Linked DNA regions of Kluyveromyces lactis. The protein of the gene in region 2 interacts with the protein of the main gene of each other region in a pairwise test. Links are inferred from orthologs where the notes say so. Each region holds a gene or a part of one and is shown on either strand. Other genes may lie near its edges. The genes, in order: BUR2 and SGV1.

Region 1 (3,434 bases), on a different chromosome or scaffold from region 2:
AATTTTCCTCTTGTAAATGGAAATTCTTGGACACAATATCAATGCCTGGGCTCAAATGTGCGGTGGCAGGATCAAAACCCTCTTCTTCGTGTCCAAAAACCTCTTGGTTGCAGATATTATTGCAAAAAGTGGACTTGCCTAAACCTGATTCTCCTATCACCAACATGCAGAACTGTATGCCTCTTTTGGCATTTTTCCTGCGACGAATTTCTTCTGCACTAAGCATCTGATAATTAGATTTCTTTTTGCCAAACATTATAGCTGATGGGAAACACTGTTCACTTTGCCACCGTTCGTGAACCTTCGTATCTTTTCCGTGCGCAAATAGTATGATGCAATGATGTGGTTCTTTCTTCGAACCCTTTTTTATCTTTTATCTGACAACATTCTTCGACAGTGAAATAAAAGAAGCGACGATTTTGTGTCATAAAATAGTGCATACAAAATCGAGGGAAAAAAGGTATGAATGAGTTTGTCCGTCAATGGAGTCGTGATGATACTACATAGTTTATATTAATTTTCAAAATCTCGGTTTCTTCGTAGCTTGTTCGGCGGGTGGCTCTGAAGGTCTTTTTATGCTTCTTTCAGACATGATTCTATTCGAAAGCTCTTCGATCTTTCTTTCGGTATAGTTCAAAAGTTCTTCATTGACTTCTCCCTCCTTTATGATGTCGTAGTCGTAAGGGTTGAATGGTTCGGGATCTAACTGTCTATCTTCATCTATCACTTTGTCTATTTCGTCAACAGTAATGGATAAAGCGCTATTTTTGTTGCTCTTCAAATCGAAAAAGGCTTTTTCAAGTTGTTGATAATGCGAGAACAACGAAGCAATGATTTCACTGGTTATAATTACTGGGAAACGCCTCCTGAAGAAGTTATGAGGGAAGCTGAAGCCCGGTTCTTTGTTTTTTTGAAAGGTCACACCAGCGAATATTAGGGCTAAGGCCACAAGTGTGTATCCATCACATAGCAATGAAATTGGCTGTGTTCCTGTTTGGATGATGAAATTTCTTGCTTCTTGTAAAATCACGGGGAAAATCTCTCGAAGTGATGCATCAATATCAGTATCTCTAACATGTCTGTAATATCCACTGAATATTTCCTCTATAAGTTCTTTCGGATTGTCAATGTCAAGGTCGAACCCTAACTGACATAACACTTTCTTTTCATATGAAACAAGTTGGTCCCTGACCTCCCATTTCAATTTCTCCACGTTCAACTTCTGACCAGTTGGGGACGGGCCATCTTTCATCATGAAATCACAAGTTGCTTTTATATAGTGGTCAGTTGGTCTGTTATTTTCCATGGTTTTGCAGGCCGTAACTAGAATAGCTTGCGCCAAATGGATGCATTGAGGTATAGTAGGCGGAAGATCATACTTGTACCAATAACGGTAGAATAATATACATGCTGCAGTGTAAGTATGATCGAAAAGTTTCATCTCCTTCCTCAATTTATGGAAGTACATGAGACACTTCTCCATTCTCTTCTTCGTCAATTGAATTTTCTCCTCATCAGTACCTAACCTTTTAATTATATCAGTATACTCGAATGTCCATTCATTCTTCGGGCATTTGATTATATCAGGCCAAAGATTTCTTGGATTGAATTGAGGATTCCCTTCATTCTGCTTGATGTCTAATGACGTCTTACCATTACCACTGGGCTGGGAATTAGCTATCTCTTCGCTGGCTGAAAGGACCATTTTTAATCTGTTAAAGCTCACGAGAAATTCGTTCAAATTGACTCAAAATTCGGAGTAGATATGAGATGGTTGGTTGGGATGAAATGACGTTTGTAGTGGTGTGTACGTCTCTCTTTCCTGATTCAATGCCAGCCAGTGGATTTTAACGATGCATATGTAATTCACTGAATAAAAAGGAAGTTATCATGAATGTAGGGTAACTATATATATACATTTGTATTATATGTTGAGATCAGTTGTGATCAACACTCATAGACAAAATGTGAGAAAATGAAGGTGTGGGCTTGAGGCAGTATCGTAGTATATTCCCCAAGTCGTCAAGTCATCGTGTTATTCTGTTATCTTTTCGTAGCAAATCCGATTTCCGTCCATGACCAAAGCTTTGAGTTTCTTTCTATGATGAATTTTAGAATGTTTTATTCCGTGAGTGGATGAACTCTTCGTCTTGGCATGAGAGTCAAAATGATCATTTGAATTGTTCTTTACCTCTTGCATTGTTAATCTCATTTCAGTATCTATCGAAGAAACTGATGAAGGTGCTGGAGATGCGTTTCTTCTTGTTTCTGCCAAGTAATCATCTGACACCTTTCGGCAATTACCATTATTACTTGATGCATGGGATTTCTTCTCCTTCAACGAAACGCTTCTTTCTTTACTCTTAGCCAGGAGCCGTTCAAACAGTACAGCCTTGTCCTTCACCTTTTTAGACGATTGCAACTGCCGTATAAATTCAGTAGAAGAAGAAGAATCAGAATCAGAACTTGAAAGCGATTGATGATCCAATTCATAGATCTTTGACCAAGGCTGATCTGCTAACTTAGGGGCACCATCTGAAAATACGGAACTTCCTGACCGCGAATGCGAAATTCCAAACGAATCGGGAGAATGGGCATGATTAGAATCTGATCCAGAGTCAATTCTTTTTAGTAAAGAGCTTATTGTGCTGAGTGGGGTGAATTGTACATCATCGAGTAAGTTGCCATATTTATTTGGAGTCGCAGAGGTATTATGTGTAATTATCCTATCAGGTGTTTCTCTCCCAGAAATTACACCAATCCTATGAAAGCCTTCCAAAACTCTCAAGTATTTCAATCCTTCCTTATCGATCTTTGTCGGCTTAGTGCGTGGCTTTTTAGTAGGCGTACTTTCACTATCAGCAAAGTCATTCATAGATATTTGCACCGGTTGAATTTGACCATCATTATAACTATCACTCCCAGTATCCTCCTCAAAAACTGATATATTTTCAGCGTATATTTGGTCCAATCCATTAACGTCATTAGTTGTGTCAATATCCGACTCATCTTCAGTTTCCCAGAGATCTGAGTTGTCGGGCATCATTTCACCATCAGTTCTCCCGTCATTAATGTATTTTTTTCCTACTCGCTGGTTCTGGCTATCATATCCATTACTTTCATTATCATTTTCATCGTTGTTCATATTGTCATTGTCTTCACTTTCCGATGCAGTGTCTATTTCGTTTATCCCTAAATCATCATTTGATTCTAACAGTCTCAAGAGGTTCCCTGAGACCTTCCTTACTCCATTATGCAGATATCGCAGGGATTGAAAGAATGTTGTGTCATTCAAAGATACAAAATCGAAACCTCGTCTATTCCTTTGTAACATCCTTAGCGAATCTAAAAAGTATCTTTTCGTCCATAAATATTGATTCTTTGGGTCATGAAGTATACTATAGTACATTAATTTTTCATTCGTAAGAATTCTT
Region 2 (4,135 bases):
AATCGATACTCAAACACAGTGTGAAAATGAGGCACTGTTTGCCTTCTTTTAATTATTTGTGCAAATCGGTACCTATTTGCTTGTTGGAATTGTTTATAGCAAACACATCGAGCATCAGTTGAAACGTTCGAGGAATTTCTGTGATGCACCGCCAACAAAGAAATTACCCCAGGGTTCAATTCTGCTGGAAAGTGCATAACTTAATGACCATGTTTAAATTGTTTATCAGTATATTTAAGTTGCTGCTTGGTGATTATTGACGTGCGTAATTTTGATTTGGTTTCCAAATCTGGATACATCAACAATGAATTTATACCAGCAAAAAATCTTCATCAGCCATAATTTCCCTTTTATACGTAATGATATCATTCACAGACCACATATCATAATCTGGTTAGCACTTTAATGGATGAATTTCTGGGATACATGAAGAGAAACAAACGCACTTTCCCTCGTAAACTATCTATATACTATTTAACAATCTCGAAGCAGCAGGCCACTTTGGGGAAAAAACATGTCAAGTTGGGTTTAAAAAGTAGAAAAGTACCAGCATAGTTTCAAGCCCAATTTAAATTTAATCAATAGTAGTCTGCAACGTCTTTTGGTTTGACATTGTTGGAATGCGATGACTTGGAATCTTTTTGCGTAGATTGTGAGCTACCATGGCCAATGGTCCCTGGATTTTCAGAAGCTCCCGGTCTGTAACTTCTCCGATCACCAGCTTGGCTGTATTGATTATACCCTGTATTTCTAGAGGTATTGTAGTCCTGATTTTGATATCTGTTAGGATAGGATCCTCCTCTAGGAGCAGAAGGACGTTGTATAGTAGGATGATGCGAACGATCAGCAGGTGGAGCATAATTGTTATTATAATTTAGACTGTCTCTACCAGTTTCCCATCCTCCTCTATTACGGTAACGTTTCCCGGCATTATACGACTCGGTAGTAATTCTTGTATTCACACCGAACCTTGATTCAGCCGGATATTTCGATGCATATGAATCACGAGGATTCGGTGGTAATTTATTTGGTCCAGTCGGTATACTGTTTTTAGGACCTTTTGGAAGAGGCGCAGTCGGAATAGGTTCTTTGGGGATGTTCTGAGTTGCTGCACCATTGTACCGTGAGGCGGAGGGTTGCGCTGGAATGGTTGATTTTATGTGTTCTGGTCTAGGAGCCTTTGGTATTGAAGCCTCTTTTGGAAATGCAGCACCTGTCACAGCTCTTATGGAATTATCAGTCGATGTATGTCCTGTTGGGGCAGATGGCGGTCTTTGAGACATAGATTCGTTCATCTCACTTTTGTATCTTTTAATATCGGATTCGTGGCATTCTTCGTTAGGCAAAGTTAGCTGTGCATTTGGCAACGGTTCTTCGAAGAAGAAAGGGTGTTTTTTAGCCTTCATGGCAGTTACACGCTTGTATGGATCTAGAGCTAGTAATTTAGAGAGAAGATCCAAACCTGTCTCGTTCAACGCTTTCGAAAATCTTTCTTGCAACGTACTTTTATAGTTTGTTTTTGTCAACTCGGATCCAGGTAAATGGTAAGCTAATCCCCATTCATCCATCGATGGTGTTCCCATGAGTTTGAAGATGACATGTCCTTGATCAATATCTGTTTGACCCTGAAGGATTGGTTTTTTCTCAAAGAACTCAGCAAATACACAACCAATCCCCCAAATATCAACTGCCGTAGTGTAATGTCTATCACCCAATACAATTTCAGGAGCTCTGTACCAACGTGTAACAACGACCGAGGTGTATTTAGCACCTGATCCAGCACCACCAGGATATTTAAGATTTGGCGGAGAACCATAATAGTTTCTTGCTAGACCAAAATCTGCAATTTTTACGACACCTTTATGATCTATAAGGATATTGGCTGTCTTAATATCACGATGCAAAAATTTATTGCAGTGAATATAGTTAATACCTTCCAACAGCTGTAGCATGATGTTTTTAACATCAGCCATGCCGAACTCCACTCTGGGGTTATGTAACAACCCTGTTAGATCGGAAACCATGTATGGTAATATCATGAAAAAGTGTTTACCTGTTATGAGCTTCTGCTGATTTGCCGTGTTGTTTCCATGATAGTTCCCAACAGGTCGAGGAGACGTACTATCTGTCTTAGGAGTTGGTGACTCGTCGTAGACAATCTCAATCAACTTTACGATATTTTTATGATTCATGCGCTTCAAAATGGTAATTTCCCTCTGAGCTGTTATTGGAAACAAATCCTTTTCTGCTCGTACTAAAATACGTTTAATAGCAACCTTTCTATTTGTGCCTAAATGAATCCCTTTAAAGACTTCACCGAAAGTACCTTGCCCTAATTTTTCTTCCTCACGATAGTTGTTCAGAAACTTAGTAACACCGTACACCTTTTCATTTTCTCTGCTTTGAACCTGAATGTACTCCAAACCAGTCTTATCATCTTTAACAACAGTGGGTATCTGTTTCACTTTGCCTATCTTATACTTCAAAGACGCAGGCTTCTTATTCACAGTGCTCATGGCTATAGTATTCTTTATTCAATGCAAAGGAGCGATAGCAACGATTTTTGTAACTCTTACAACAAAAACTCCAATAATTAGGTTTTATGATACTTTAAACTGCCATGTGATGCAATAAATGACCGTTCACACAATAATTACTGATTGCAAAAGGACCGTTGTTGTACAAAGCGAATTTGACATTCATAACTATTCTTTAATTTGAGTTTAAATTTTGCTTAACATGTTATACAGGTTGAAATTGTCATTATTAAAATAATATCACGTGACCAATATGGCGTTTCTACTCAAGAGTCACAACCGCTTTAAGTTTATAACTAATAACCAGCTCTTTTGTAGATGCCATTTTGAAGGTACGGTAAGTATTCTGGGGCCTTTAACTTCTAAACAAGCCTATGAACTTCAGTAAGCCATAGTTTTACACTCATTTCAAAAATGAAATCAGACATCGGCATTAAGAATGAGTCTTATTCTACTTCTAGCTTCAATGAAAGTATATATCACTGCAGAAACATTTCGTGATCTTCTTGGTTGTCAATTAGGATAGCGCTTAATTGCGCCTTTTTGGAATATATAGTATTGAAATGACGCACGAAAAATAAAGCACTTACAAACGAATAGGCCGATCATGAAACAGTCATCCTAAACGTCCATCTGCTGAACATCTAGTGACATTGTCTAGAACACGCTGTTACTTAAGGAGTTCGCCAATAAAAATAGGTTATTCTAATGGGAAGATGATGATAAACTTGTCTCGTTCTTACTCCTGAAGGTGAAAAGTGGAGAGCATTCGAAACAAAGGAGATAACGGTGTTTGACTTCAATATTTCACTTTCTAAAGCTAAGCAATTATCAAAGTACCTATTTACTAAAACATATTTGATGGATATCACAACCCAGCTCCAAGAACAGCCTAGTTCACTGGCTGAACTATTCTTTTAGCTGAAGCTTGAACGTTACACATTTGTTTTATAAAGATACTCTCATCGCTAAGATAACAAAAAGAGCACAAAAAGCACCTCCCTCAACAAAAAAAAAGGAAGCGCTATCTCGTATGCTCTGTAATTCTAATTATACGTGCGAAAAATGGACCAAATTACGCAGTGGAGGTGAATTATCCAGCAAAATTATTTGTATCATAATATATGTTTCTTTCCTTGGCTGTACAAAATTGTACCATTTTTTTTCTTAAACGACAGATGTTACAAATTTTCATTGAGATGGCCTTTTTTTTCTTTTAACGAGAAAAATATCGACGTGATATTTAAAGATGAAAAAAAATAAGATACACTGATGATGAACTTTCGTGTTTTAGGTAATGAAAGAAAGTGTTAACTCTTGCCAGCGGTTCTTTTAATATAAGTTGTTTATACCATACTACGCTGTAGATTATATCAACACACAACTCCCATAGTTATTCAGCTAACCCTTCAGAAATAATGACTGAACAAGATCTAGCCAAGAAGCAAAAGACTGTGGATCAACCACCAAGACCTCAAAACGTCGGTATCAAGGGTATCGAAATTTACATCCCATCTCAAGTATGTTCTTAATACGTCAATTACTGTTATAGCAACTCACGGGCTTGCATATTTTGTTGAATTTGAGCGTTTTCGAGA

Evidence for each region.
Region 1: the proteins of SGV1 (region 2) and BUR2 interact in binary tests that used the Saccharomyces cerevisiae proteins (3 or more experiments, as listed by UniProt). The link is inferred for Kluyveromyces lactis from reciprocal best matches to the Saccharomyces cerevisiae genes SGV1 and BUR2.

Annotation. Positions count from the first base shown.
Region 1 is NC_006042.1:1,211,505-1,214,938, forward strand, and holds BUR2 (Bur2p), read right to left. Parts: upstream 1,706-3,434; coding exon 521-1,705; downstream 1-520. Other genes in the region: septin SPR28, read right to left, coding at 1-256; MFB1 (Mfb1p), read right to left, coding at 2,036-3,434. UniProt on the Saccharomyces cerevisiae protein: Component of the BUR kinase complex involved in transcription regulation.
Region 2 is NC_006040.1:891,336-895,470, reverse strand, and holds SGV1 (cyclin-dependent serine/threonine protein kinase SGV1), read right to left. Parts: upstream 2,517-4,135; coding exon 579-2,516; downstream 1-578. Other genes in the region: ERG13 (hydroxymethylglutaryl-CoA synthase), read left to right, coding at 3,956-4,057. UniProt on the Saccharomyces cerevisiae protein: Serine/threonine-protein kinase component of the BUR kinase complex involved in transcription regulation.